Linked DNA regions of Mytilus edulis. Each later gene encodes a partner of the first gene's protein in a complex. Links are inferred from orthologs where the notes say so. Each region holds a gene or a part of one and is shown in the gene's direction. Other genes may lie near its edges. The genes, in order: basement membrane-specific heparan sulfate proteoglycan core protein-like, integrin beta-PS-like, LIM and senescent cell antigen-like-containing domain protein 1 and integrin alpha-8-like.

Region 1 (7,975 bases):
GTCCCAAGTCAGTAGCTGGTAGTCTAGTGGTTTTCGTTAGTTCATGTCTGACATTTTTGTTTTTCGTAAATAGTTATTTTGTAATTCATCAGTCCTGCACCTCTCCAACCATTTTAAAAGGTTTTTTTTCTAGATTTTAAAATAAGCTCGGGATATAAAATCGGTATCCCTGCAAATATATTGAGTGTTATCTCTTAGACTATGTCTGATCGATTGTTATTGGAAGTGCTGAATGTCTCCGTATTTCGTGGACTCACATTCCCGAAAATGATATTCATAAAATCGCACGGTATGGTGTCTTGGTAGAAGCTGGAATTACTCATCTTTTCGGAAAACATATTTCGTCCTATTTGTCATCTTTTTTAGGACCTGGTTTGTATTTGTCTCTTTTTTTACCTCATTTTGACTGTCACGACAAAATCAATTTTAATAAAACTCAGATGAGTGTCATACAAGGAGAAGAATGTGTTGCGACCAAAGAGGGCGGGTAGTGTTGTCCAACTCTGATATATTTATTTATGTAGTTAATAGTGGTTAAACCTCACTCCCCTGATGCGCGAAAGGGGGAATCCGAAGATCTAGTGAAATGAAGATAGATAAAGCCAAAAAAAAACTTAAACGAAAGAGGGACGAGGGTCAGGACTGAGCAGTTGCAAAACGCATGTGTACCAACTCCAATATACTGAGACAAATATCCCGCATGAGAAGAAGAATCGGAATCAAAACGTACAACCACAAATATTATAGAGAACGGAGTTGGTCTTTTTAATAGAAAATGTACCTATAAACTTAAGATAGATGCATTGTCGGAATAATGGGCTGTCGAAGTAATGGGCTGTCGGAATAATGGGCTGTCGGAGTAATGGGCTGTCGGAATAATGGTTGTCGGACTAATGGGATGTCACCGTTATAACATGTATGAGGTACTTTTGTACATGTTATAACTTGTATTTTTGCATTATACAAGTTATAACATGTACAATATTTTTGTACATGTTATAACCTGTACAAAATCGCAACTTGTACACGACATATATTTTACTTCATTAAAATTTATTTTAAATTTTGTACAAGTTAAAACCATTTTTAAGCAATATTTTGTACAGGTTTTAACATGTATGAGGTAATTTTGTACATGTTATAACTTGTATTTTTGCATTATACAAATTATAACATGTACAATATTTTTGTACATGTTATAACCTGTACAAAATCGCAACTTGTACACGACATATATATCATAAACTTAGTCATCTGTGCACTATTTTATTATTTATCAAAAGAAATCCATTACAAGAACAAAAAAAAAAAAAGTAAACATGAAAAACCGGGGGTTGTCTCAGATGCTTCGAAATAAGTAAACGGGCGTTTTTCAATAAAAGCGTATATTTCAGACCTAAAAAAATGGAATCAACTTGTCTAAAATTTAATTTCAAGAGTTATTTTGAATACCTCTATTATAGACCTGTTTGTAAACAAAAGGTCCAATCTTAAATACTCCTTAAAATGATATTTTTTTTCATAATTTGAGTACTGTTCAAAAGTCCCCTACGAAACTGCTTCTAAACACACATATGTTTGCAATTTTAAATGTTTCCTATAGACATTCAAGTTTGTTTACTTTATATACTAGGAAAATCTAATTTTTTTCTGAATTGGAGAACCATTTTTTATCGATGAAGATTAGACAGTACTTCACATATGAAGGTACAATTCGTGTTACGTAGTGGACATTTTGATGCGTTTCGTAGGTGACAAATCCGTTTCGTAGTGGACAAAAAGTTTCGTAGTTGACATCAACCCTATTCTATGTTAATAAAAACATAATAAAAATTACATGAAACTAACCCTTGGTATTTGCTTTGCACGAATATAATTGAAAAAAGAGTAAAAAAAGACTGCATGGTAGTGGTAGTGTCCCCTACGAAACGTTTTTCTCCCATACTTGTTTCGTATTCACATGTTTTATTTTTTTACCACAATCCCTTTATTGCAAAAGTAACAAGACTGATTGTATTCATCAAAGCATGTATTAAGCTGTACACTGATATTTTTTTCATAATTTTAAAACCAGATACTGATGGAGATTTGACCCGTTTCGTAGTGGACATTTACAAAAATACGGTATCACTCTGGTCCATTTGATGTGCTCAATTTTTTTTACCAACAATTTAATTGCCGTTATAAAAGCATCACTTCTTTTGTAAGACCCTAATGTTTATATCTCTTGCAAACAAAAATTACATTGATTTTATAAAACGGTTTATTAGCAAATTTAATGACTTCGTTTCGTAGTGGACATTTTGTTAGGGACACTTCTTCTGAAATTAAAAAGGCACTGGCTACGGTTACATGGAAATGTAACAATAATAAAAATATTATTGTTACATTGGAGACTAATTGCCGGAATGCAAAGTTGGGTAAGGAACCGATTAATTACGAATGTAACAATAATTATTGAGGCTACGGTTACATTGCGTTATTGTTACATAAAAAACAGCAATATACGCTAGATTTTTTAAACTTAAAAATCTTCTATAGTTTTATTGCTTAATTCTTTTATATGTACTTGATAATACTTGTAATAATGATAAATGATAAACATTATTATTTAACAAATGGTGTTTACATAGTTTTACATATTAAATTTGGTTTTGATGTTCTTAAAGATACTACACCAGATTAGGAGTGCCAAAGGCGAAAAATATACTAGTAGTTCAATCGTTTCACTTTTAAGTATTTAACTACACACCTACTCTTAATTTACTGTTCGATTATACTTTGAACAACGGATGAAGAGATTCCTATTATCAGTTTTGTTTAGGGTGGAAAATTTGAAATTTGGGATGCGTTTGAAACGAAACTGAAACAATATCAAGACACAAATTTCATTCAACTATACAAACGCAGTTCTAAATAATTTGATACATCAAAAGCAAACTGTGAACTAAAATACTGGGAACTTCTGTATACATGTATCCATGGAGGACGTTATTTCGTTCATCAAAAATGTGTCGGACTTAAACATGCTTTAACAACCACTTACTGGATATGTAGAAACTGTCATTGTAAATAAAAAAATAAAGAAATTGTATGTAATTATTGTATGTATTGTAAATATAAAATAAATGTCCTCAACTTTTATCATTTAGTAATAATTACTAGTCCCATCGTACATTGCTGTTTTTCATGTAACAATAACGCACTGTAACCGTAGCCTCAATAATTATTGTTACATTCGTCTCTAACCAACCATACATTCCGGCATTTAGTCTCCAATGTAACAATAATATTTTTATTATTGTTACATTTCCATGTAACCGTAGCCAGTGCCTATCAAAAATCCTATGTTAAAAGCTGTTTATTATAATATGTTGGCTCTAAACATACTTTTGAATTATTAAAGAACTTATATTAGTAAAAATAACATTTATTTCTACATTTTTTTACGAAATTAGCAATCCCTTTAAAAAATTAACTGTTTCTTTGCTTTAAAATGTTAAATCTAATTCAATGTACTGACTGCACAAAAAATTACTTGCAAAGACCAAACACATTATTTTTAAAGTGGCTAGGACAAGAAAATACGTTTTTATTGAAAAACGCCCAAACATGAAAAACCGGGGGTTGTCTCAGATGCTTCGAAATAAGTAAACATGAAAAACCGGGGGTTAATTTGTCTCAGATGCTTCGAAATAAGTAAACATGAAAACCGGGGGTTGTCTCAGATGCTTCGAAATAAGTAAACATGCAGATCCTGCCCAGTAGAAAATGTCCCGTATAATTTTGATGGAACTTTCCACAGAAAAAGTAAACTAGTCTAAAAAAAAATGCTAGTAAAGAAAGCAATGCCGAGGGTGCGATATTTTAAATTAACATTTATTGTTCTTATAGAATTATTCTTAGAAAGGCTATTTTATAATTTTATAAATGTTGTCTCATATTGAATGGGATTGTAACTGATGATGTATAAACCGAGTTTTTTTAATATTATGAAATGTAGTTTTATATTTTTTTTTTACTTTACGACACAATTAATAAGCAGTTACATCATCATAATAGTTAACATGCCAAAATTTTTGATCAACAGGGCAACCGCAAACACACTTGATAACGCCGATAAAAATATCATACACACAAATTTAAAGTTCACATTTTTCCTTTTTCGCACCTGTGATATGAAGTACCTAGGGTCGCGAAGATAATTATCCAAATAAAGAAGATCTTGAGAGCAAATATCCTTATCAGACCGATTATATAATTAATCTGGTTGAAGTATTATACTGTATAATTAATACCAGATTTTAAAGATAACGGTTATCTCAAAAGTCTCATTGACATGTTTCAATTTAGCAGATGAGGGGGGAATCCCGGGCTGTTCTATCAATTATACTTGGTTGTAAGAAAGTGTACTTCAAATGTCCGGTGGTATCACGATCATACATATTTGAGGGTTAAGTTGAAGGAAAATAATTGTTACAGTATTGCACACGTTTAAGTAGCTAATCAAAGTCTTTTTGTAATAATTGTGATGTTAGTGCGTGACTAATACGTGGGAGTTAAGTAACAGCCGAATAACATCGCCTTTCTTCAGTTCATTCAACCAGTGAATATAGAAAAGAAAGTGCTGGAGGCTTTTTGGAGGAGTTTGTTTTACAGTTTCAGCTGTTTTTCATTTTGTTGTTAGACGGCTGGGAAAAAACTCTGGCCTTGGATATTAGATAATGCATTTGAATAGGCATTTTTAATAGTGTGTCACGGCTTTTGTCTTTTTACATCTGGATTAGTACCGGTTAAAGAGAAAAGAAAAGGGGGTACTTACTGTCTGTTGCCCCAAAGGAAAGTGAAAATATGACCATGTATTCGTCTAGTAAAATATTATTCCTAAGGAACTGCAGAACTTTATTAATAAGTTTAATTTTATTAAATGGAATTTTATTATCAACTTCAGAATCGGTAAGTTTAAAAAGTGCTGATAAAGGAGTATTCTTGTCTGCATGTAGTCAGTAGTTAATTATTTTAATTATCTTATCAGAATATTATATAATCGGTGCATGTTTGAAAAGAGAACGCAATATATACAACACGTTTACATAAGTACTGGTACATGATGCATGTGTTTGAATTGATTATAGTCTGTTTCCATTTAGGAAAAGACATGCATGTGTATAAAGTGAAAACGTCAATTTAGCGATGCTATTTATTGAAATATTTGAAAACACACATAGGTGTATACTCGTATCTACATATTATAGAACAATTGACATAAAAAAAAAATATGCAACTTATGTGTTTATAGCTAATTTGACAGTATATCTGTATGTATGTACATGTGTGCATTTATCGTTCAAAACGGAAAAAAAGATGAAAAAGTTGCATACTAACTAATTTAATATTCCTGTTGCTAAGAAATATGTATACTTACATGTATATAAATGCAAAATTTTGTTTGGTGAATATTTCTAAAAATTCTTTGATGAGTTCTAGATCTTAAGATTTTTATAATAAATTATTTAGTTATGCAACTGTTGATCTGGTGCCTCCCAGATGTTTATAAATGATAACTGTCTTTAGCTCTGTTATGTGAAAGACTGGTTTCCTGCTGAGGTGATTTATCAGTCTTATCAAGGAGGTTATATGCTTTTCAGAACAAATATTTTTATTGATGAAAATCGTTTCACAAACCACCTGTGATGAATTAGTTTTCTTTTATGCATGGATATGTTGTTAAAGCAGCAGCAAAGCTGTTTTTCTTTGCATGTTAAATAGTATTCAAATTAGAGTTAGGACATAAAAAAGATATGTCTTGAGATCTTGCCAAACAAATTGTGATGTTATTTACTTTTTCCTTTTCTTTCTTTTTCCAATGCCAAGGCAACTTTTTCAAACAATTTCAGTAGAAAATTTGACCTACATGTTATCATTTCAATTTGTGACTGACTTCTGGAAAATCAAATATTAAATCTTGCCTAACCAAAATAAAATTTGCCTGGCAGATATGAAATCACACCCAAAATTTAAATAAAATTCATCATTGTCTGACTAGCTTTGACTATTCAGTCTATTGCCAATACTTGTCTGAAATAAAAATATTTCAGTCATATAAGTACATTGAATTATGGGGACCTCCCCTGGGAATAATTCAAGAACACACTGTTCTTAAAATGATCAAGAACTGTTCTAGGACCTAATTTTCACTTCAGTTCAAAGGAGATGTATTTCATGTATTTTGTATTCTTACATATACATATGTACATGTATAAAATAATCTTCAAAAATGGATTTCTTTAATATTTTTTTGGCAAATTGCAATTGCACAATGTAAATGTATTAAAATACAGAAAAGTGCAATGTTATCATGGTTATGTACATATTGGTTAATCCATGGAAGTAAAATGAATTATAATGCTTCCATGGTTTAACTAAAAAGACAATTTAAAAGCAAAAAATATTTTCTCCCAAAAAATAATTTTTAAAATGAAAATCAAACATTAATAGAAAGTCAAACTTGAATGTTATGTAAGACAAATTCTACCTTAGCATTTAATAACAAAAATATTAAAGTAGAAAATTATTCACAGATTTACTGATACAAATTTATTTCAGTCAAAAGCTAAATATAATCAGATGAAAAATAAGAGGTCACATTTTACAAATCTTTATGCAAGAGTTAATCTATTCATCTGGATTAAACCAATAACTATGAATATGAAATGATTTTACAATGAGAGTGACAAACAGGACATTCCTACAGGCTACTAATGGTGTAACAGATTTGTCTTCATGTATACAGGCTATCAACTGACCTGTATAGTGTACATGTCTGTATGCATGTTCACATTGTACAACCATTTTTGTACACTGTCATGACTGTATAACAATTTTAGATGTACATATATATAACACTTTGTAAGATGTTACATATATATATATATAATTACATTTGATGTATGTTTCATTATTTCGTTATTCTGATTGGCTAACTGCACAGCACGTGCTATTCCTTAAGCAATTGCATTACTCAATAAAATGTATCATTCATGATGACACGAGGTCCAACAATAAAGTTCACAGGTGAATTAAATAAAAACTTGATAAAAATCGTGTTTTCATGATCCTAGCTAAAAAATGTAATAAGTATTGAATGCTTCTTTTTGTAACTTTATAGGGTTGTAAAAGCGTTGACCGTGCACACATTTATAGAATGAAGCGATTCCGCGCTTCATACAAAATGTACTTCGGTCAATATTCTTTTACAACCCTATAAAGTTACAAAAAGAAGCATTAAATTCTTAAATATATATACGAGTCCAAATTGAAAACTACGTTTAAACCTATGATTGCGTTGGATAAAAACCGCAATTTTTATATGTGTGCATGTAAAACAAATTTCGTTGTAGAAGGGTCTAAATACAGCACAAACAACATTTTCCAAAAGACCAAAAATTTGAAGAAGTATACTTTTCATCTGAGAATATAAGACAGATTAAGTTAAGTTTCACTTCTAATTTTTGAATTTTCGGGCTGATGATATTAGCTAAAGGAAACATTTTTATTTGGATTATTTTAAGCAAAAAAATATGGCTGTCTAGTTCCTATACACTCCATGACCTCTGAATTTGCCTCTAACATGTCTAATTGTGGTTATAAGTCAAACAATATATGCGACTATAGTAAATATATACATGTACATGTACATGTACATGTCTATATATAGTAAAAGAAAGTCAGAGGTTGGAAAACGACCAGATACCACTGTACATGTAGTTATGACCATGTCATTTTCTTTGCTTTTACATGAATGTCAATGTATATTTGTGTACAAGTTATTGTTCATAATTATTTCATAAAAGTGAATTTTCTGTACATTTATATACAAAAAAAGCAGAAAGCATTGCAAAATATATTTGATGTACATTGTGTGTATACATTTGTACATGTACATGTAGGTATCTGAATATATATTATACTAGAG
Region 2 (7,452 bases), on another chromosome or scaffold:
CAGACCAAGACAGAGTTGCGTCCACAAAAATACCAAGGACTTGTTCACGCTGACTTTCATTAATATATTGATTATTAATGAAGATATTAAAAGGTTCATTACACATGACAGAAAGTTTGTGTTTTGAACATAAACACATTTTCTTTGTTTTGGATACATTGATTAACATTTTGTTTTCATCACACCAATGAGAAATATTTTCTAACACAGTATTTAGTGTCTGGCTATACAACTTTTGTTTTTACCAGTAACAGAAATAGTACTATCATCAGCCAAAAGATCACTGTTATGATTTGGATTACACAAAGGCAAAAAATTAATGAATAATAAGAATAATATGGGACCTTAAACGAACCCTTGAGGTACACCTGTTTTTACTTTTAATACACCTGAAAAGGTATTTGAAATGTATACAACCTGCTGTCTATCAGTTAGATATGAAGTAAGCCAGTGCAGTGAAGAATAAGAAAATCTGTATTTTTGTAATTTCTGGAGGAGCAGTTTATGATGAAGAACATCAGAAGCTTTACAAAGATCCAGAAATACTGCTCCTACTAATTCGCCTTCATCAATTGCTTTTAACCATTTATCTAACAAAGTTGTCATGGCAGTTTGACAGGTATGGTTCGAACGAAAACCTGATTGCAGGACATACAACAGATTATATGTGTCCGTATAGTTCATTAAATAAGTTTTTACGTGTCTCTCAAGTATTTTAGATACTAATTGTAAAAATGCAATTAGTCTGTAATTAAATACATCATTTTTTAACATTTATTTTCAAAAACTGGTATGACTTTAGCTAGTTTGAATAATGATGGATAAACTGATTTTTTAATGCCTGAATTAAAAATTTGACATAAGGGAACTGAAATAAGATGAAAATTAATTTTTAAAAACTTTGCACTGATATTATCAAGACTGCTTTTATTACATTACAGATGCCTGTTTCCGTTCGATTCCGTTAAATACCAATTCCTCAGAGCAATTGGTATTTTGCGGAACGGAACGGAAATCAGATTCAACTTGATCACTGTTTCTAATCATCTTCGGAAGGCCCCCTTTTTAATTTATAATTACCAATGGAAGTAGAAAGACCTTTTGTCTAACCTGTCATTGTGTTATTTTTTATACGTCCGTCAATTTTGACGGGACGTATTATGGTATACAAATGTCCAGTGTCCGTCCGTCCGTCCGTCTGTCCGTCTGTCCGGTGTAAACATGTCGCACCGTAACTTGAGAACGACTTATCCAAATTTCATGAAACTTAACATAGTTGTTTCTTATGATGGTAAAATGATCTGTATACTTTTTTGTGAAAATAAGATTACAACTTTTTGAGTTACGTCACTTTGTAACTAAAACAGGGGTGTGTTTTTTTCACATGTCGCACCGTATCTCAAAAACGATTCTTGATTATAGCTTTAAACTTTAAATACTTCTTAGTTATATTAATCTTAATATCTGTATACTTTTTGGTGATGATTCAAAATTTCATTTTTGAGTTATTGAGTATTTTGTAAAAAAAAAAAAGGGGGGGGGGTTACATGTCGCACCATATCTCAAAAACGATTTATGATTATTGCTTAAAACTTTACACACTTCTTTGTTATATTAATCTGAAGATCTGTATACTTTTTGGTGATGATTCATTTCTATATTTTCGAGTTATTGAGTTTTTTGTAAAAAAAAAGAGGTTTTTTTCACATGTTGCGCTGTATCTCTATTGCTTAAAACTTAACAGGCTAATGTTGCGTCGGGTTTCCAAATACATCTTGTACAATCTTCCTATTGAGCGGGAATAAGGAATGAGTCAGGATATACTAAGCATGACATCCTGTACAACCCTGTGTTATTCAAAAAAGATTTATGTTTTTTTCACAAGACGACGGGCGTATCATGCGCTCATGGCGCAGCTGTTTATTTAAATATTGATCAAGTCGAAATGCTATCTAAAACACTTACCACTCATTCAAAAAAGAAGGGTCTGCCTTGTTTTTATCATACTGCTTTAATTACATTAAAGATGTCTGTTTCCGTTTTTTCCGTTAAATACCAATTCCTCAGAGCAATTGGTACTTTGCGGAACGGAACGGAACGGAAAAATAAATTAAAAAGTTTACATCAGATTCAACTGGATCACTGTCTCTAATCATCGTCGGAAAGGGCTGTTGAAGGCCCCTTTTTTAAAATATAATTACCGATGGAAGGAGAAAGACTTTTTGTGTAACCTGCATTTGTGTTAAATTTTTTATTATTGATCAAGTCGAAAATGCTATCTAAAACACATACCACTCATGCAAAAAGAGGTGTCAGACAATTTTTTTTTTATCATACTGCTTTAATAACATTAAAGATGTCTGTTTCCGTTTTTTCCGTTACATACCAATTCCTCAGAGCAATTGGTACTTTGCGGAACGGAAAAATAAATTCAAAAGTTTACATCAGATTCAACTGGATCACTGTCTCTAATCATCGTCGGAACGGGCTGTTGAAGGCCCCTTTTTAAAGATATAATTACCGATGGAAGGAGAAATACTTTTTGTGTATCCTGCCTTTGTGTTAAATTTTTTATTATTGATCAAGTCGAAAATGCTATCTAAAACACATACCACTCATGCAAAAAGAGGTGTCAGACAATTTTTTTTATGATACTGCTTTAATTACATTAAAGATGTCTGTTTCCGTTTTTTCCGTTAAATACCAATTCCTCAGAGCAATTGGTACTTTGCGGAACGGAACGGAACGGAAAAATAAATTAAAAAGTTTACATCAGATTCAACTGGATCACTGTCTCTAATCATCGTCGGAACGGGCTGTTGAAGGCCCCTTTTTTAAGATATAATTACCGATGGAAGGAGAAAGACTTTTTGTGTAACCTGCCTTTGTGTTAAATTTTTTATTATTGATCAAGTCGAACATGCTATCTAAAACACATACCACTCATGCAAAAAGAGGTGTCAGACAATTTTTTTTATGATACTGCTTTAATTACATTAAAGATGTCTGTTTCCGTTTTTTCCGTTAAATACCAATTCCTCAGAGCAATTGGTACTTTGCGGAACGGAACGGAACGGAAAAATAAATTAAAAAGTTTACATCAGATTCAACTGGATCACTGTCTCTAATCATCGTCGGAACGGGCTGTTGAAGGCCCCTTTTTTAAGATATAATTACCGATGGAAGGAGAAAGACTTTTTGTGTAACCTGCCTTTGTGTTAAATTTTTTATTATTGATCAAGTCGAAAATGCTATCTAAAACACATACCACTCATGCAAAAAGAGGTGTCAGACAATTTTTTTTATCACACTGCTTTAATTACATTTAAGATGTCTGTTTCCGTTTTTTCCGTTAAATACCAATTCCTCAGAGCAATTGGTACTTTGAGGAACGGAACGGAACGGAAAAATAAATTAAAAAGTTTAAATCAGATTCATTTTGATCACTGTCTCTAATCAAGGACGACGTGAGGTCAGTCTAGATATCATAATGCATGACTTGCAAATGCGTTAATTTCATGATAATTTATCAGGACAATCCGACATATTCATCTACAGAATATTTCCCGATGTTATACATTATTACACATTTCACCTGTGAAGATGAGATTAAGTATACATTTGTGTTATTTGTATATGGAAAACCGTAAAACACAGAAATTCCAAAGTTTGTTTTGTTTTAAAGATTTTTCGAAATTTTGATAAATGCCCCCTTTGGATACCTTAAATGAAATTCCGTTCCGTTCCGTTCCGTTCCGTTCCGTAAAGTACCAATAGCCTGTAATTTTTACCTATTATGTCTGTCTTTTCTTCACACATCGTTGTCAATATGATGGAATTTGATGTGACTATCATACAAGCGAGAGGGCAGTTTAGCTAGCTGTAATCCCAGGTTTAATGCACCATTTTGTACATAAGAAAAATGCATGTACCAAGTCAGGAATATGCCAGTTTACAAAATGTATATCAATTCGTTTGATGTGTTTGGGTTTTTGATTTTGCCTTTTGATTAGGGACTTTCTGTTTTGAATTTTCATCGGAGTTCTGTATCAATGTGAGATTTTACTTACATTATTTACTTTTCCTCAATTTCCTTTTTTACTGATCCCGGCTGATTTTCTATCAGGACGGTTTATAGGCATTTCTGTCGGAGTAGCACTTCCTCTTACGTCACAAAACCGGAATCGCCATATTTAGACTGCAGTGACTAATTTTGATAAACATTGACTAAAAGCATTCGATTTTGAACAAGAACAGGTATATATGTTAATTCAAATACGTCTGAAAGAACGTTGAATGAAGAATTTATGCATGGATAACCTCATTCTTGAGTTAAAGTGTGCGATTTGTGGCATAATTTACCTAAATTTGGATCGGACTCAGAGACTCGCACAACATAAAAACAGTTTCGCTTTTATTTTTCCAAGGGAACAATATTTTCGTTGAACATGGTCTCAGAATCAATGCAAATTATCTTTTCAAACTTTCAGTGTAATACATGCATGATATATTCAACAGGATTGATCCTAGTAAAAGATCACATCACAAAACTTCACTCATTAATATTATTTTAATAAATGAATATTATTTAAATAATACACCTTATCGCTAATCCTGGCTGACCGGGCCGCTTGAACTTTTAATGCATACAACAATTACTTTTGTAGTTTTATGAAAATTTTTACGGGAACCTGTTTGACATGTTTGATATCCAGGAATGGCGAACAAATAGCTATAAGGTGTAAATTATGATTCATTGATTGTAAGGAGTGTACATTTTCCTTAAATGTACAGCACATGCATGGATAAAGGTTTTTTTCTCTTTTGAATGATTTTTTGGGGGTTAAAACATACAAGTTATAAGTCTCTCTTGTTAAATCAAGTAGTGTTTTCAGTTGCCCAAATTTAAAGTACATTTGTAATTTATACAGGTGTTTGGGGAATGGACCCTCCTTTTCAGTGTATCACTAGATTCCATCTGTCTCACTAATTAGCATACATGTGATGGACTGTGAAACTCAGATCAGGAAATTTGGGAATTTTGGTCAGGAGATTAGAACTCTGATCAGGATGTTTTTTATCGACATAAATTTAGTCGTAAATGTAACTGTATGATGTAGAAGTTGTCTTTTAAAATGTTTTTTTTTCTTCAAATTTCCAACAGAATGTTATATGTTTATAGTACCTTTATTACCTTTCTTTTTGAATGATATTACATAATTAAAAAAAAATATTGAGAAGAATCTGTTTCTTGTTTTGTTTTGATAACTGATTGTTCACTGGGTGCAAATAAATCATGATCTTTGTGTATAGATTCGTATTCATGTCTCCAACTCCTTATCATAAGTAACTGTATAGACAAATAAGAAAAAAATGTCATACAGGTAAATTTATAACATGATAGAATAATTTAAATCATAGCTAGCAATAACAATCGTATTTCAAAGGGAAAATAATAATTTGGTTGCAGCAATACAAATATTTTGTGATATTTCATCAAACTTTAACATATTCTGCTCAAATAATAAACATATGCAACTAGACAACAATAAGAAAAAAATGAAATCTGAGCGAACAGGCACTAGGGCGATAGAACCCAGATTCCTCTCCACCAGCCAAAAAGAGTGAAAACTAATCATCAGATGTACCACCCCCTCCAACAGAGCCAAAGTAAAAGCCATGTGCATTGGAGTAATAGGTTTGTGTGCGGGAATCTAAATCACCATCACCAATTCTGTCTATTGAATTTCAAACACCTGCATGTACACCTTCATCACTGGCAACACCACAAACTCCTCAGTCACCCATTCTGACAACATGTTCCTTTTCAAAATGACAAGCCGCTTAAAAGTAGCTGATTAAAAACAGCCTACATGTACTTGCAGCCATAATATGTAACATACCGGTATCTAATGTTTAAGTTAATAATGAGAGGTTACTACATGTACATGTAGCTCAAGATGTTTCCAAGCAAACTTCAACAACAAAATGAAAGACTCATTCAACTTGTATAGGCCTAATAAAAAATCAACAGAAACCCTAAGTGCATGCTTTATCTCACATGACTGCTACAAAATGTACGTACATAAACTCCAACATAACTTTTCTTTTGTAGTTTAACCAGTTGTTGGTTTTATAATCCTGGGGCCTGTTGAGCTATCTTAACTATACTGTTTTGGTGTTGCCTCATTGTTGAAGGACTTATTGTTTAATGGATACATACATGTATTTTTGTTGTTGTCTCATTGACAATCATTATCAAATCTCCTTATTTTTATGTTATTTATATTATTTTGTAGCAATATTCTGCAATGAAGATAGACTGGAGACCAGTTGTGTTACTGCTATCCTGTTTAAGTGTTGGTTTGTCACAAAGTAAGTTATAACATATATATACTTCATATATACATTTATCTTATGGTTGTGGCCTGTTTTCTATTTCTTGCATGAATATATATATATTTTCTCTTATCAGAGATATGAAAATCTGCTTTGATTTATTTGGCTTATCAAGTATCACAAGACAATATTAGGCCATGAATTTTTAATTTGTTAGTTTACAGATTTTCCCCATGAAAAAGTCGGGTCGGTCGGTCGGAAAGAAAAAAAATATCTTTCAAGACAGAAAAATACACCTTTCTAAAAATATGTTTGTCATCATTTCTTAAATTTCAGTTTGATCAAATATTCTTGGTCAGCTGTCATAATCATCGCATGACATTGTCTAATAATTTGAGTTCCGTGAAAAAAGGGGTGTGTCCACGGAAAAATACAAAATTAAATTGTCATTTCTCAAACAAGAAAAAAAACCAGATCTGTGTAGCCTAATCAATTTCTGGAAATTTTGTGAATATTGAACCTCAAGCACGAAAACTGATAAAGAAAAAAATGCCAAAACGTACGAAAATAAGTTTCCACACACATGTCAAAAACGTAATAGACTCGTCCGCTGGAAAAACGTGGATATCGGGTTCATCAGTTGTCAAGCATTCACGTTTTTTATATCCAATTAGACAAATTGTTTTTATTATCAATGACATAAGAAAATTCCAAATGAGTTGTTTATGTTTAGTACTTTAACTTGACGTCTCCACGTTTTTTCATTTTTCTATGAGATTATGCATCTTACGGAATGATGACAAAAACGGGAAATGAACTTACTGTGTAACGGGTTTTAAACACATATTTCGTTCCGCAAAATTATTTCAAGGTCAGTTATGATTGATTTGTCTATTTTTAGATACGTAAATTTGAGGGTTTTTTTTTTTCACAACAGAAAGTGTTTTCAATTCTATTAGTGTTTAATGCATTTTATTTCATAAAAAGATTATCTTATTTATTTTTCTGGGTCAATGTATTTGTTAGGGTCGGACGGGGAAAAATTTTTTTTTTATAATTGTTTTCCTCAAATTGGCAAAATCGGGTCGGTGATCCGTAAACCAACAAATTAAA
Region 3 (8,338 bases), on another chromosome or scaffold:
TTGTATAGAAAGCTCTTAAAAATATCAAGAACTTTTTTATCTATAAAAATGGTCCCCAAAATTTGGATATATAATGCGAGATAACTCTAACACTTAATTTAGCTGAAATTTAGATTTGTCTCCCTGTGATGTCTCTTGCGTCTTGACAGAATCTGAACTCAAAATGTGCATCATGTTGTTCTCCTTTTTTTCAACTGGTTATTATTTATCATAAAATGATTATATGTATACAAATGTTGCATATTTTAGACTGTCACTTTTGCATGCAAAACCAAAGATTCATTCGGAAGAAGATATGTTTTAGTAGAATTTATAAATCTGTAGTGAACGTTTTTTTTCTTCTGTTCAAATAAAACATTTATACATTCAATCAGAGTTTTCGTTGGTTGAGTAAAGAATACCCCGTTGGCGCCCCTGTATTGTGTATTATCTTGTTTCAACATGACCTTATATGGCCCCGGATGTGACGTAATTGTCCCGCCATGTTGAACTGAACGTCCCAAGAAAGTTACAGAAGTGAGACATTTAAGACAAAAACAGCGATAATCGGCCTGTATGACTGGAAGGTCGGCATAACTCATATTAGTTTAACAATTTAAATTCTTAAATAACTTAATCCCTGATATTGAGATTACAGAACTTTCTATTCAATGCCAATAATGGTCAATAATGGTGCTTTGTTGGACCATTTTTATCAAAATAACAGAATTTTTACGAAATATTGTAAAAGATTTGAGTGAAAATCCATGAAGATTTTGATTTTTGTCTGATGTAATATAGTAACTATTAGCCCATATTCGTACATGTTCTCATAAAACTGTACAGTTGTTATAATAATCCTATTACAGTTTTGTTTTTCTAAGAAAAAATAAAAGGTGACATCTTGTTGGTACCGTTACCATTATTCCGTCCGCCCATTACTCTGCAATATATTCAAATTTTTCCAACAGCCCATTACTCGGACATCCCAATATTTCAACATACCATTATTCAGACAGCCCATTACTCTGACATCCCAATATTCCGACAGCCAATTATTCTCACAATGCACCTGTCATAATATCATGGCTGAATATTTGTTTCAATGCCTTGGAGTTAATACACTAGCTGCAGAAGCATAGCTCATAGGTCCTTATGTTATTTGTTAACTTTGAGCGGACCATAAAACTACAGATTTTTCCTATTTCAAAACGTTCAGAATTGCGACCCAAGTTCAGGTCACACATATTTCCTAAAAAAGATTGTTAACAATCCATGCTACATGAATTTCTGTGTCATTTTGGTTTCTTGTGGACGGTTGTCTCATTGGCAATCATACCACATCTTCTTTTTTTTAAAAGCTAGTCAATATATATAGTTTGTTTCATTAGATATTTTTTTTAGGATAAGAAGTACCTACAAATTTATGTTTGAATATTTATTTCCTTAACACTATTATTTGTATGCATTCTCCACCTATTTTGTTCAGCCATATTGAATCTTGTTGTGGCGTCTCACCTATTGCTGTGTGTTTGTGTTTCTACATTGGCTAGAGGTATAGCCTATTAGGGTAGGGTTGAGTTCTCACAAAACATTTTAACCCTGTTGCAAGGGTGTGGAAATGGAATGCATGACTCGCCCGACTCGTTTGATCACCTGGTCAAGTGACTTTTTTGTCTGGGTTGCCCATGGACAAGTTAAATTCATACAAAAAAATATAATTATTTTCAAAACTTATAAAGAAGTTTAATTTTATGTAAAAGAAACCAGTGATAAACAAATAAAACATATACATTTTTTTGTATATTTAAGTCAAAACATCAATGTTCACAACAAAAAAATTAAATAACACTGGAAAAAGATTGATTACCCAATTAAAATAAAATAAGTATGCAAACCCGGGTCTTGTAAATATGGCTTTGTCCTTGTCCATTGACCCGGGGTATCGTCTTCTAGGTTTTATCCATCATTAAACAGAAGTGTCATTTACCTTTTTTTAATAAGAAAGATAAATATTTAATAAAACTACTGGGCAATCCAGACAAAATCGACAGGTCATTAAAAAATGTAAAACGCAGGCGGAGACGGACTAAGAGTGAGAAAAAAAACGAAAGCAAAAATTTCAACCATCTTGGTTAGCAGAGTTCCCCTGGAATTTTTGTATAATATGTATAAAACATCCAACACTTGCCGATCAAAAGTCAACTCTATTTGTTGGAAAAGTAGAAAATACAATGTAGATGGGACACATTAACTGCCAATCAACTTTCAGAAAAACACCAAGCTTGTCAGTTTAAAGAAACAAATAAAATAAAACAGGTTTCTGGGGAAATGGACAAAGCTGCGGCTAAGGTCAATCAGTCTTAGGTTGATAGGTAGGAAAAACTCTTTAATACAGCATATGCAGTTGTCAAAAACAATCGACCATTTTCTGACTACAGTTTTATATGTGGTGTGAGATTTCCTCACTGCATTGAAGACCTATGATGACTTTTAGCTGTTATCTGCTCTTTGGTCGGGTTGTTGTCTCTAACATATTCCCCATTTCCATTCTTAGTGTAATACTGTTTACTTTATGTACATTGTAGGTTATTAGTCCCCTACTGACAAAGTTGAATGCGACCTAAGGTTTTCATTCCTTTTGTCTGTCCATCTGTCATTCCAGAAAATCAGATTATTTTTCTTCATGCTTGAAGATATTGATCTCAAAATTGATGTATAGTTTTCATGACAAGTTACAGATGTACATGTACAAATGTAGTTATTATTTTGTCCCTGTCTAATGATTTTGTGCAGAGGTATATGGACTTTTGACTTTGAAAATTCACTGAAATAATCAGTTTTCCACATTTTTTTCCATCATGCTTGAGTCGGCTGCGGTGGCTGAGTGGTCTAAGTAGTTACATGTACATGTAATCACTAGCCAGTCAACACTGAGGTTGTGAGTTTCGAACCCACTCTTGTGGAGGCACTTGACTCAAATTTTACATACATTGTAATGTATTTGACTAGGATTGTCAGTTTTCCTACCGAAAGTCAGTGGTTTTCTCTGGGCACTCCGTTTTCCTCCCCCAATAAAAACTGTCCATGGCCACCACCAAGTAGGCCAAAAGCAATGCTGAAAATTGACGTTCAAACACAAAAAATCAAAAATGAAATTCGTGCTTAAAAGTATTGATTTGAAAATTGTGTGTACATGTACATGTAGTTATATCATGACAAGTTACAGATCAATTTCTAATTTTGTTCAGAGTTATGGTCCTTGGACTAATAAAAGTACCAGGGCCGTAACTAAAATGTGCCTCCCCTAAATTTTCTACACCAAATTTTTGTTTTTGAAGTAATAAAATAAAATATTGACAATGTGTACACGAAAAACTTAAATTTGTATTTTAAACAACACACATTTACAGTTTCAACAGTGGTATCATGATACGTGATATATCTGTCATTCCCCGGATTTTTGATTGGAAGTGAACCATTTCGGTATTTGTTTTAGTTTTTTTTTTCGAGTGGCCATCCATCTGTTATTCACTAGTTTTTCCTATGTCGTACGAGAACGCATATGAAACTTTGCTTTCGACAATTTTAAATAAAACTTAAATAATCACATTTATTTAGGGGCTCAAGCAGAGGAAGTTCCCTTTGTATTATGAATCGTTTATGATATCAGAACTACGTTATCGGCTGAAGCAGCTGCTGGATATTTTTTTTAACGTGTCTAGTCAGTCAGTACATCTGTCAATCGTACATTGCACAAGAACATAATGGTCAATGCCTTAGTCGTTAAACACTCCCATTCATGTAGTTCTATTCATGTCTGTTCAGCTTTCAACAATATTGAAATTCAAGGTCCTCGATAAAAAAAATTCTTGCGATCTATATTAGCTTGCTTTATATGATTTTTTTTTACTTACCGGTTTGATTTCTAACAAAAATATCTTTAAATACAGATAATAATTGTTTGTAAAACCAATTGCTTCCAGGTTCAAGCATTACTGATGAGTTAAAGTAAGGAAATCAAAGGAAAACGGTTGATTTTTGTTAGGCATTTTATTATTTTGAGAGAAAAAAATCAGTGGTCACAATATATTTAATGTTAATAATTATAGTTCAAAGTAAGGCCTTCAAGATGGAGCCTTGGCTCACGCCGAACAGCAAACTCAGTTTGTTTTTGCATAAAAACTGCTTCCAGGTTCAAGCAATACTGACGAGTCTTAAAGTAAGGAAATCAAAAGAAAACGGGTTATTTTTAGCCATTAAGTGAGGGTGAAAAATCGGCGGCGGCCCCAAACTCCTGCCTCCCATGAATTAGAACACTAGCAGTCTGCACCAAAAACTTTTTCAACTCCTAGTCCGAAGACCAATATTCTGACATTTTTCTTATTAATCCAAACAAAGTTTTGCCAAAACTTACTAGTCTGATTGAAATTTTACTAGTCTGGGGCATCGGACTAGTGGCTAACCGTGCAGACTGCACTAGTTACGTCCCTGTAATCAGTTTTCAATACTTTTTTTGCCAGCTGTAGGGGGCTATCTATATATTGCCATGCAATACACACACAATGCTTGTTGATCATATACATGCATATACCCTGCTTACTTTTGTTTGGAAAGAAAAATAGACTGACAGTGATTTGATTCATTTCCTCATCTTAAGGCTGAAATTTGAAGTCACTACTAGGCTGTACATTTGTTAATAAATACATTCAACGATATTTTGGATTTTTTACAAAAGAGAACTACTTGTATAAAAATTTAAAAATCAAAACTGTGAATTCTTACCTCTAATATATGTTGATTGAACATGTTGAAGCCATCATTATTTGATAATGTAGATACATGTACTACAAATGCAGATGAATGTACATTTTGTTTGATGTAAATTTGTATGAATAATAATTACATGTATTTTATCTGGAAAGAATTATGTCCCCTTTGACTAGTAAGTATTTTTATTTCAGGAAATGAACACTTATATGTTGTAACATGATAACATTTTAAACACTCATTATTAAGTTTGACCCTGACTCTTAATGACATCCGAGAAAAACATTTGAGTTATACAACAAATGTATTCTGCCAGATTCCATCAAAATAAACATAAAAACAATGACAAATTAAGGGACCAAATACATTTGTAAAATATGTTAATTTCTTAACTGTTATATCTCTTATGCTGTTCATGTTAACATGATCAACAAATACATGTACATTAATGTACTTAAAAAAATCACCTTCTGCATTGTTTAGTGCTGACATGAACGGAAGACACTTATAATTGGTTATACTTATACTGGAGCTCACTTGAGGTTGAGAGGGTGGACTATAACAACCAAATGTACTTTGTGTATATGTTTATACACTATACTTGTTGAGAAAAAGCTGATGAAGTGACATCATTTATCACCGCTTTCACTTTCTGTTACAGTGCAGTCGGCTGTACACTAAAATATATTTGTTACAAATTAAAGGGAAATAATGAAGTAATTGGAAAATTATAAAAATTGCTCATTTCCTTGTTGACCTTTTGAAATATGGATTCTGATGATGATATCATTAATGACAATGACACTAGTAGTGCTGGTTTTAAAGTTGAGAGTGATATGGATTCTTGTGGGACTCTATCTGATGAGGACCTACTAAACAATGAAGAAAAATTCATGTAGGTAGCTTTTTTTATGTAGCCTATACAAAACTATATACTGTTATCAAAATGGATTCAACTTTTTTTTTATTCCAGGAATTTATAGCAATTGATAAGGGCTTGAATCAGAGAAGGAAATGCATTAAACACTTAGAATTTTATGTTAATGTGTATTTCCCATTTTCATGAAAATTTAGAATAATTTTAGAGATGGAAAATATGTTGTTTTTTTTATGCAACAAGGTCCGAGTCTCCTACTGTATTATTATTAATTTATAAAATATCAACAGAAAAAAGAAACATTGATATGGACATACAACTTGCTAACTTGTTTTCCTACTTTCATGTTCATTTATTATCATTGATCGTTTAATTTTGACATGTGCATATTAACAGTAACTTCCAGAGTTGTGACCCCTGATTGTATGAAATTTTCAGACTATGAAGTATGGTGTCTGGATGACAGGACCAAAAACTATATGTAATTGTGCATATTTTTAAAAAATCCAGCAGTATTGCAATTTTATTTAGATTTGATAATTCAGTGAACACATCAGAAAGTCACAAACTGCTAGGTTTACTTCAGTTTGATGATGGATACATATATATAATACTAGAACACACCCGTGATATCACGGGTCCGTGACTGAATTAAAGTATATAACTATGCGCAAGCCTTATTTTAGTATTAGTATTGTCATCTGAAAAAGTCATGCTGATTATAAGATACACAGTTTTTCTCTGCTTTCAAGTCTTTCTGTTTGAACCCTCGAACTGAAACAATAATATTAATTAACTGGAAAACAAAATGTCCTGGAATGGAGTATTTTTTAATCAACAGCATTGTCCTATATAAGTTATAAATAAAGTTGAATTCTTTGCTTCGCTGTTTTACGTCATGCCCACTTACAAATTGAAAACTGTACCTATACGCCTTATTTTTAGTCCAGATTTTTAGTATTCGTATTGTTATCTTAGAAAGTCTTACTGATTCAAATACTACAATAGGTAACAATTTGACAATTTAGTTGTGTCAACCCTGTGGTTATGACCCGTGTATATAGCATATTAATCCTGAATGGTGGTGAGCCTGTCAGATGCGGAACGTACAGATAAGGTAATAGGTAACAGGTGAATATACTATTGGTATTGGTAGCGGACTCGACCCGGAACTTCTTAATTATTGGCAATATTAATTACGTGGAAAACAAAAGGGCCTGGAGTGGTGTAATTTTTAATCTACACCTTTGTACTATATTAGTTATATATAAAGTTGAATTCTGTGATTCGTCGTTTTTACGTGATGACGGCTGACAAATTGGACCTTGTAATTTTAGTATTATAGATATTTGTATTCTGGAAGAATTGTTAAAATAAATTCAATGAAAAAGTTTTACTTTTAGTCTGTTTCAGAACATGATATTTTGAATATAGGTACATTTGTAAAACTCAATTTCCTTCCCCTCAAATATGTTCATTTCCATTCATCCCAAATTGCATTGGACAGAAACATGTCCTTTTCATTACTTTTAATCATCTCTTACAAATTTCAAAAAATGCCCAAATTGAAATGTGTCCACTTTTATTTTTGAAGAGGGATTCATTATCCCAAGAGGGTAGGAATGTCCTTTTCCCTCAGTCGTCAATTGGTAATTTATTGCTAAATTAAGTTGAAAGTAATGTTTATTGTGAAAAATAAAGGTAAAATTTAACAATTTTTGAGCAAAATACTGTAAATTCAGAAATTACTGTAGCATTTATTATTACGATTATAACCCAGTCACATTTTTTTTACGACCGCAAAAAATTTTGCAATCATATATATATTGGTATGTTAGCGTCGTCTGAAGACGGATGGTTTCCGGATAATAACTTTAGTATACACTAGAACACACCCGTGATATCACGGGTCCGTGACTGAATTAAAGTATATAACTATGCGCAAGCCTTATTTTAGTATTGGTATGCGCAAGCCTTATTTTAGTATTGGTATTGTCATCTGATAAAGTCATGCCGATTATAAGATACACAGTTTTTCTCTGCTTTCAAGTCTTTCTGTTTGAACCCGTCGAACTGAAACAATAATATTAATTATTTGGAAAACAAAAGGTCCTGGAATGAAGTATTTTTTAATCAACAGCATTGTCCTATATAAGTTATAAATAAAGTTGAATTCTTTGCTTCGCTGTTTTACGTCATGCCCACTAACAAATTGAAAACTGTACCTATACGCCTTATTTTTAGTCCAGATTTTTAGTATTCGTATTGTTATCTTAGAAAGTCTTACTTAAAAATACTACAATAGGTAACAATTCGTACAATTTAGTAGTGTCAACCCTGTGGTTATGACCCGTGTATATAGCATATTAATCCCGAATACAACGTTTGGTGGTGCGCCTGTCAGATGCGGAACGTACAGATAAGGTAATAGGTAACAGGTGAATATACTATTGGTATCGGTAGCGGACTCGACCCGGAACTTCTTAATTATTGGCAATATTAATTACGTGGAAAACAAAAGGGCCTGGAGTGGTGTAATTTTAAATCTACACCTTTGTACTATATTAGTTATATATAAAGTTGAATTCTGTGATTCGTCGATTTTACGTGATGACGGCTGACAAATTGGACCTCGTAATTTAAGTATTATAGATGTAAGTAAATAGAAATCAATAAAATTTTAACACAATGTTTATAACCACAAAAGTAAGC
Region 4 (7,759 bases), on another chromosome or scaffold:
TATCTGTAGTAATCTGTAGACACAGATATTCCATAACGGTGACGTCTAACAATTCGTAATGGCGTCCATAACACTTTCGAACTGGTAATTTTACTTCTCAGAACCCTTGGTTTAATAGTTTCATTGTAAGCAACAACCCTCTGTTATGGAAATCATGATTTGAAACGCTCTGGAATTCGTTTCAACTCGGAAAATATGCTAGTATACTCCATATGAACGCGCTGCTTAATTGTTGCTACATATAAATGGAAAATTTACAATTGTAAAGATAAAATCCCCAATTTAGTCGTACAGTTTTGTTCTCTACCGACCCTAGTTGTTAATTTCCAAATGTAAGTCAAGTTATGAGGCATACTAAACTGTATCTTGTACCCTTTAATTCAAGTTCAATGGGTTTAAAGCATTATAAGCTTCACTATATATTATATTTACACTTATTTTCTGTTAGTGTTAGTATAAAGTTTGTCAGTGGAGGCTTAATATTTCTTTAGTATTGTATTTTCAGATGTTTTCGACAACCTCTGTAATTCTACAACCCTTACGGGACCATGATATAGAGTCTCTGGCAGAATAATGCAAACTTTCCCTTTTCAGTTGTTCCAGTTGAAGTCCAAATACGTCTGTGATTCATCTGGATTATCTGTAGGCTCTATACTATGTATAGGGTAAGTTATTAATAATTCTTCATTTCGGGGTACGGATAGATAACATGTGTTTTAGAATATATATATGTATACACTTCTACATTATTGTCAGGTTCAGAGGGTATTAATAAATGTTTTGAAACGCACCTTTTTATTGTGAATTTATCAAAGTCGTCTTCGGCCCAATGACTGGGATAATTGGAGGAAAAAAACGAATGTCTAGTTCTTATATTATGATACTTTGATGGTTGAGAGATGTTAAATCAAGTTAAGGCACGATTATATAAATTCTGATTTTGAAATGTCGTGTCACTTTACCCTCTGGTATCTTTCGCCCCTCTTTTACGGACATGCATGTCCAAAGTATAAATAGCACGAGAAAAGACATACCTGTATATTTATACTGAGTAACATAAAAAGTTATATTTGTTAAGTGCTGCATAAATACAGTACTGCTTATGTGCAATTTTCAAAACGTTAACGCTGTAAAACTCGTGTGCTCTATTTTTCAATCTAATTAAAATATAGATCTCCCAATATATAGTATAACGCGAGCAGCTATCTATATTTGAATTAGATTGATCTATTTTGTCCTATTTTTATGTGGTTTTTTTTTGTAGGTTTGTATCTTTATTGTTTCTGTACATACTTATCGGAATACTCGTTCAAATATTTATACGTAAAGAATCTGGTAAACGAGTTATACCAAATCATGACTTTTGGGTTGCTGTACCAGTATATATAAAGGTAAAAATAATATGTTGTGTATATTTTTGTGACTTTGTCAACATTGGATATTTTAATCATTCGAAAGAGCATTTTTGAGGGTTTTTTTTCAAATTAAAGCTACTAGTATAAGATAAGATAAGATAAGATAAGATAAGATAAGATAAGATAAGATAAGATAAGATAAGATAAGAATTTTATTAATCTAATCAAGAACCCATAAAGGGCATCATTTTACAACAATATTATGACAATATGATTGAAAAAAGCAAAACAGAAAACTAATGCCATACCATATTGGTGAAAATAACGTATGGGAATTATTTCATGTACGCCTAAATGACGGTTATTAACCAATTTAACTGTGTTTTGCAATTATCTTTGGAACTATTATTTTGAAAGAGAAAAGTAAAGTTCATTTGAAAGATAACTTGAGTATCTACAAGTTATGAAAGTAGTCAATATACTTTCCGTTGGATGTGCTGTCCTAAAAAGAGTTGACCATACAAAATAAAATCTTATTGATCTGGATCAAACTGGTTGCAATCCAATGTGGTATATGACATCGCCATTGCCCCTATACTACTGTTGCTATAAAAATTGATGTTATATAGGTACCCTTCTATGTGAAATTTCCAGGCTCATTGGGGCCCGTTATTGTTTTACGGAAATTAGGCTTCGAGACGGTTTACTTGCTGAATATATACAAAGCTTCTGTATATAAAAAAAGTCAATTCAAACTGTTTCGCTTTTTTAAACTTGACACACTCAGGGCAAAGTTTAAATATTTTCACTGTATGTTGGTAAGAGGGTCATTTTGACCAATAAAGAAATTCATACCAGTAAGAGTTCTGGTCACTTGATAACTCTTCATTTTGAGTTGTATATCCTGTATAACTCATTGATTGAAAACCTTGCGTAGGCTTAGACAATCGTTTTACTCCTGTCACTTACATACGACAGACATAATGTAGTAGCTAATTGCTTCAAACATGTAAGTAATTAAAAAGGTATGATAGGGAATATTTGACCTTATACAAAAGTATTGACCTTATACAAAAGTATAAGTATTTCATATATATAAAAATGTACACCCTATTGTAATTATAGTTCATGAATTTACTGAATTTATACTTTTTTGTAGGATGGTACTCGTTTTGTTATTGGGAGAGGAAAAGTACGAACATACGATGCAATTTAATTTTATCTCGCAGTTTAAATCTATACAGTCATTATAGAATACTCATTTTTATTTTTGTATAACAGTTGTTTGTTCGTATGATAATAATATACATTTGTGTAATTGGTGAAGATGTTCTGCTTTATTCGGAGTTGTCCTTCGTTGATCGAAAAAAAATTCAATGCATATATAAGAGCCACACATGGATAGTTTTATGTCCTCTTATAGTACGTTTGTATTATAGTTATTTGTTTATGGAGATAACTTTTAGGCGTTGTGGAAATAAAGGCGATATTTCTATTATGCATGTTATTTCCGTTATGACTAAAATGGAGAAAAGAAAGTAGACAAAAAGATGAATTTATGGAGAAATGATTCATGTTAAATGTACACCCGTATGGAATCATCAATTAAATGAATGTATACTTGTTGGTTTTAAAGACTTTGTGTTTAACTGAATTTATTCATTTTATTCACGGTAGATTAAGTTTGAGTATATACAATTGATAGAAAAATGAGCAACATGGGTCAATTAAAAAACATGTATCGCATTCAAACGAATGAAATAATATTAAGCTCATGTAATACTACCATGATCCTACCCAGTCTATAAATTAGTGTCGTTTCTAGATTAAAAGTAAATATGGTCAATCAGAACAGTACAAACTAATAACAAGCAGGCATCGAAATTGAAACTAGCTTGTATGTTTCACTGACTACTTTCTTTAAAGACGACTGTAAAAAGATTCTATAGGGGTGCTAAGTCTCTCATCAGTTTGTTCATTTCTGTTGTATAATCATAAAAACAAGGAGATGAGGGTGGGATTGCAAATGAGCCAACTATCAAAATTAATAGCGAACAAAGGACAAGCATGTAAATAATTATGGGTCGACCAACATACGAGCTTCAACAATGAGCAAAAACAAATGCTGTAAACTATGTTATAAATGTCCCCGACATGACAATATCGTGAAAAAAAACAACCAAAAGGCGAAAACCAACTGTCTGATCTTTGGTAACTGCAGCGCTATTTTAGTATAAAATATTTTTTTGAAGCCATCAAATTACATATTACATCAAACTTGACTGATTTAATTCCAGTTTACAAATTTCAAAACTCCGTAGATGGTAGAATTCCACAATTCACTATTCACTCATGATTATTTTTGCAATAACTTACGTAATATAATGTTCAAACTTCAATAATACATAAAATTTTGTTTTTTAATCCTCCGTGTTAAAAAAAAACCCAATAAAAATCTTATATATATAGATATTTATCTAGCTGACACTTGTTTATATTAATGTAAAGGTATTTGGTGTTCACATTTTTTTCAATCGACTGCATCTCCAAAGTGATTGATATTAGCAGATCTGTCAAAATAAAAATAGTTAATTGTTATAAAAATACGTAATCATCTTACGAAGTTTTCAACAATCCTTTAATATCTTCCCGACGGCGTTAAATTTACACGAATTACTATTTTACAAACTTCCTTTTAACTACATAAAACACTCTTTCTGTTTTAATCTCTGTTCAGTGTACTTTAAAGGAGAATCAAATAAAACATACAAATTTCAAAAGTATGTTTTTTTTTTTATTTTACACTGAGTTTAATATTGTTTAAGTAAATGTTTAAGAATCGTAATATAAATACTTTTCTTTGTCAAACAGTGACAAAAGAAAAATGATAGCTCTGTAAATTTGACCAGAGAAAAACAAAAGTGAACAAAAAAACATTAAATCAATCAGTTAAATGTGTTGTGTCAATCCTTGTTGTGCCTTTCCAAAATGTCCATAATATATGTCTTATGTCTGTTATTAGGTTGGGTAACATTCAATTAATTATATTGGTCAACCATCTTCATAAATCTTTTTAAATCTAGGTCAAACGTGCAATTTACTGCTGGTCATTTACAAGGAGACGGAATCTCACATCAAATATAAAACTTCCTCTCACAAACTAATTCAAACAACAGCGGGAGCTTTTTTTTTTAATGATTTTATGAATGAGTCAGGCCAATTTCTATATTAGGATCTTTACACACACGGGGCAATAAACTCGTCCGACGTGCATCACTTTAACCTGATCACCCCCTGAAGGCAGTAATGGATCACTCTTACAAATGCCAATATCTTACATACACATACGATACCGTAGGAAGTTGTTGTTTAGTGTGTAGAAAACGATGAAATTATTATATGTGTGAAATTAAATACTTCTTCTTACAAAACAACTTTGGATAAAGTGATCACTTGGTTTTATAAATATGAGATTAACTAGTTATTTATTTCGTTTTAAAATGGATAAGGTATTTTTCTCAAAGTGTAGTTGCGGAAAAAATAGTTTTTTCGATGTTTCTGTGATAGTTTTGTTTGTGTGTATTTTTGGATATGCAATTCCTATAACTAGTGCCTTTAATTTGGATATAAAGAACGCTATAATTCAAAGAGGTGAAACTGGGAGTATGTTCGGATTCTCAGTAGCTCAACATCTCGACCAAAACACAGGATGGTAAGTTTTCACAAATTCTTTAAAGTTCACAAAGAAAAGTGTTGCCACAGTTACGAGAATAATCAATTACTAACTGAAGAGATGATATTTGTAGATGGTATTTCTAATGAAATATACATTGAAAATATTGTAATTACAAATAAAACTTGCAAGGTAAACTAATATGGATCGTAAGAGGTTGCTGCAATCATGTTCTTATCTAGTTTTATGTACTATACATGTAGTATGAACATTTTTGTTCAATCAGTACATAACTATAATCTGACGGGAAGACGAGGTTAAACGCTACACATGTTTTGTGTTTATTATTTTACAATTATCTTTTATCTCATCAAACATGTGTTATCTATGTGATGTAAACTTGGCTTAAAAAATCCTATGGTGAATCCCTAAGCGATCAGCAGGTGATCGGATTAATAGATCATTAATTGACTCTGGATAATATATATTCACGGATGACATCTACATGCTTTTGGTGTACTTAGGACCCCATTCTTCAATTTCTTTCAACCATTTACTTAATTGAAAAATTCAACTTCAAATGACACAGCATCTCTATTCACTTCGTTGTCATGTATCGTCTAATCTTGTTTTATAAATCTTACATATACAAACAAATGTACACGATTTTATATCAATGAAAAATAATCGTCAAAAACGTGTTAGCTAGATATTTACATTAATTTAGCCACGCTTATTTAAACAAAATAAACATCAAACTCTTTATAAAGGTCGATATATGTCTGTTTTGATTTTGTTATGTTTAACAGTTTCTTTTCTACGACGTGATACACGATAGCCTCCAGATATTGTCCATGCATAGATAAGTAATGATTGTAACCTATCAGTTATTGATGGATGAATAATTAAAGTAATGCTTCAATCTAAACTTTTAACCGAATGACCGTCTGGATACATTTTTTGTACATACATCAACATGATGTAAAATATGGATCATAGGCTTTTGCATTCCCCAAAATACTCTTTATTGCGGTGATGTAGTTGAAAAATAAGATCAGTTGAGTTCTACACTACCATCGTTGACCATAAGGCATAAATGTCAGTGTTGTTATTTTATGACTCTCTTAAAAGAACACTTTTAGGTTAAAAATTAGTGTATTTTTTCTTTTTTTGCATGGTAGTGTGGTGGCTATGATTTTGCATTATAATTGTTTAAAACTATTAAGTAAAGTTGATCACGTTTGTGAAATGAACTTGACAGGCTCGAGGAAGTTAAGTGATTATGTGATCCCTCCCATGATTATTTATTATCTAATCCAAACTAATTTATGACGACGTTGACTGCAGGCGCTCGACAGGACATTTTGACCTCCATGGGATAATTTGTCCGGAAACAGAACTATATTAGTAAACGCCCAAGCGTTATCTTGGGGATTTGACAGTCACCTAGGGAATAAACATGCACTAAAATTATCATATTTTAAAAATTTCTTCCATTCTGACATCGCTTCAGATACACATTTACGCATAATCTTACACATGGTTACCACATTTAAAATGAAGTCAACATCAGAACGAAACTAAAAAAATCCTTTGAACCATTATTTCAAAAAAAGATCTGACAATTTTTTTCATATACATATATGTCGTGTTTAAAGTACACAAGGTTTAACACTCAAGTGCATTAAAGATGTTTCACATGGCTTGTACCGTCAGAAAGCAGGTAATTTGAAATGAGTTAAGATCTTTTCCTGGAAAAAGTTGAAATTTTAAATAAAGTTCAGTCTGAGAACACAGTAATAAGATAAACATTACGTGTATTGATGAACTGGTAAACGCAATTACGTCAAATTTGATGGATGGATCTCCGGGTCGTGTTTACATGTCATACTAGAATATGGTGGATGCCAATCTTAATTACCAGATATAATTCGATAATATAAGTAACCACAGTACAATACTTTAACAATCCTTGTTGTATGGTTGTGTGGTTTATGGTCACCAAAAGATGATATATGGTCAATAAGTAAGTTACCAATGATCAGGTCTCTGATGTTTTTGTATCTTGCCTAGACTTGCTACATGTCCCTTCCTAATTATTATTATTTTTTCAATTTTGCCCCTTTAATAATTTTACTGCTATAACTAGGAGATTACAATTATACTGACATCTGCAGGAGGAAGGGACTTGTAAAGTTTGTCTGAGGCTTGACCAAACTGTTAATCTTAGAGTAATTAAGATTGACATTTATTGATAAGAATTTCAGATAACAGTTGGGAAGTGAAACTTGATATTCCAGTGTTGTGCAAATACTGTTTATTTATTTTCATTTTATAACTTACTAGAAAGATAAGGTCACTGAACTTATACATATGATCAAACATCACATCATTGTCAGAGTTTCTGTTGTGTCTAATGGCCGAAAGTTCTACTCCAAAAAAGTTTTTTAGATTTATAAAATTTACTCCAACAACTAAAAAAACTCTTTGTGTAATTTGTGGAAACAGAATTGAAAAATGTGATTACAGGAGAAAATTATTTCATGGCAGCATCAAATCTGAATACTGTATTCTTATTGAAAAATATCTGGAAATAAATATTACAGAAGAGACACATGCAGATACTGCATGTAGAAAATGTGTTAGAGAATTGCAAAAAATTGACAGTCTTTTCACAACATTTAAATCGTCATATCAGAATACTTTGGCAAAACTACGTGAAACACATGGA

Evidence for each region.
Region 2: basement membrane-specific heparan sulfate proteoglycan core protein-like (region 1) and integrin beta-PS-like share a complex: the UniProt entries of both Caenorhabditis elegans proteins name them as parts of the integrin containing attachment complex. The link is inferred for Mytilus edulis from reciprocal best matches to the Caenorhabditis elegans genes unc-52 and pat-3.
Region 3: basement membrane-specific heparan sulfate proteoglycan core protein-like (region 1) and LIM and senescent cell antigen-like-containing domain protein 1 share a complex: the UniProt entries of both Caenorhabditis elegans proteins name them as parts of the integrin containing attachment complex. The link is inferred for Mytilus edulis from reciprocal best matches to the Caenorhabditis elegans genes unc-52 and unc-97.
Region 4: basement membrane-specific heparan sulfate proteoglycan core protein-like (region 1) and integrin alpha-8-like share a complex: the UniProt entries of both Caenorhabditis elegans proteins name them as parts of the integrin containing attachment complex. The link is inferred for Mytilus edulis from reciprocal best matches to the Caenorhabditis elegans genes unc-52 and pat-2.

The regions. Positions count from the first base shown.
Region 1 is NC_092356.1:15,117,763-15,125,737, reverse strand, and holds the start of basement membrane-specific heparan sulfate proteoglycan core protein-like, read left to right. Parts: upstream 1-4,582; 5' UTR 4,583-4,851; coding exon 4,852-4,956; intron 4,957-7,975. UniProt on the Caenorhabditis elegans protein: Component of an integrin containing attachment complex, which is required for muscle development and maintenance. Probable structural role in myofilament assembly and/or attachment of the myofilament lattice to the cell membrane.
Region 2 is NC_092345.1:41,302,880-41,310,331, reverse strand, and holds the start of integrin beta-PS-like, read left to right. Parts: upstream 1-4,140; 5' UTR 4,141-4,257; intron 4,258-6,299; 5' UTR 6,300-6,311; coding exon 6,312-6,375; intron 6,376-7,452. UniProt on the Caenorhabditis elegans protein: Integrin alpha ina-1/beta pat-3 is a receptor for laminin. Integrin alpha pat-2/beta pat-3 recognizes the sequence R-G-D in its ligands. Plays a role in cell migration, morphogenesis and probably in cell-cell interactions.
Region 3 is NC_092346.1:66,274,225-66,282,562, forward strand, and holds the start of LIM and senescent cell antigen-like-containing domain protein 1, read left to right. Parts: upstream 1-4,923; 5' UTR 4,924-5,516; coding exon 5,517-5,644; intron 5,645-8,338. UniProt on the Caenorhabditis elegans protein: Component of an integrin containing attachment complex, which is required for muscle development and maintenance. Probably function in adherens junction.
Region 4 is NC_092345.1:85,189,518-85,197,276, reverse strand, and holds the start of integrin alpha-8-like, read left to right. Parts: upstream 1-4,536; 5' UTR 4,537-4,822; coding exon 4,823-5,067; intron 5,068-7,759. Other genes in the region: uncharacterized protein, read left to right, coding at 595-665, 1,265-1,391, 2,515-2,571. UniProt on the Caenorhabditis elegans protein: Required for muscle development probably through the regulation of the actin-myosin cytoskeleton. Component of an integrin containing attachment complex, which is required for muscle maintenance.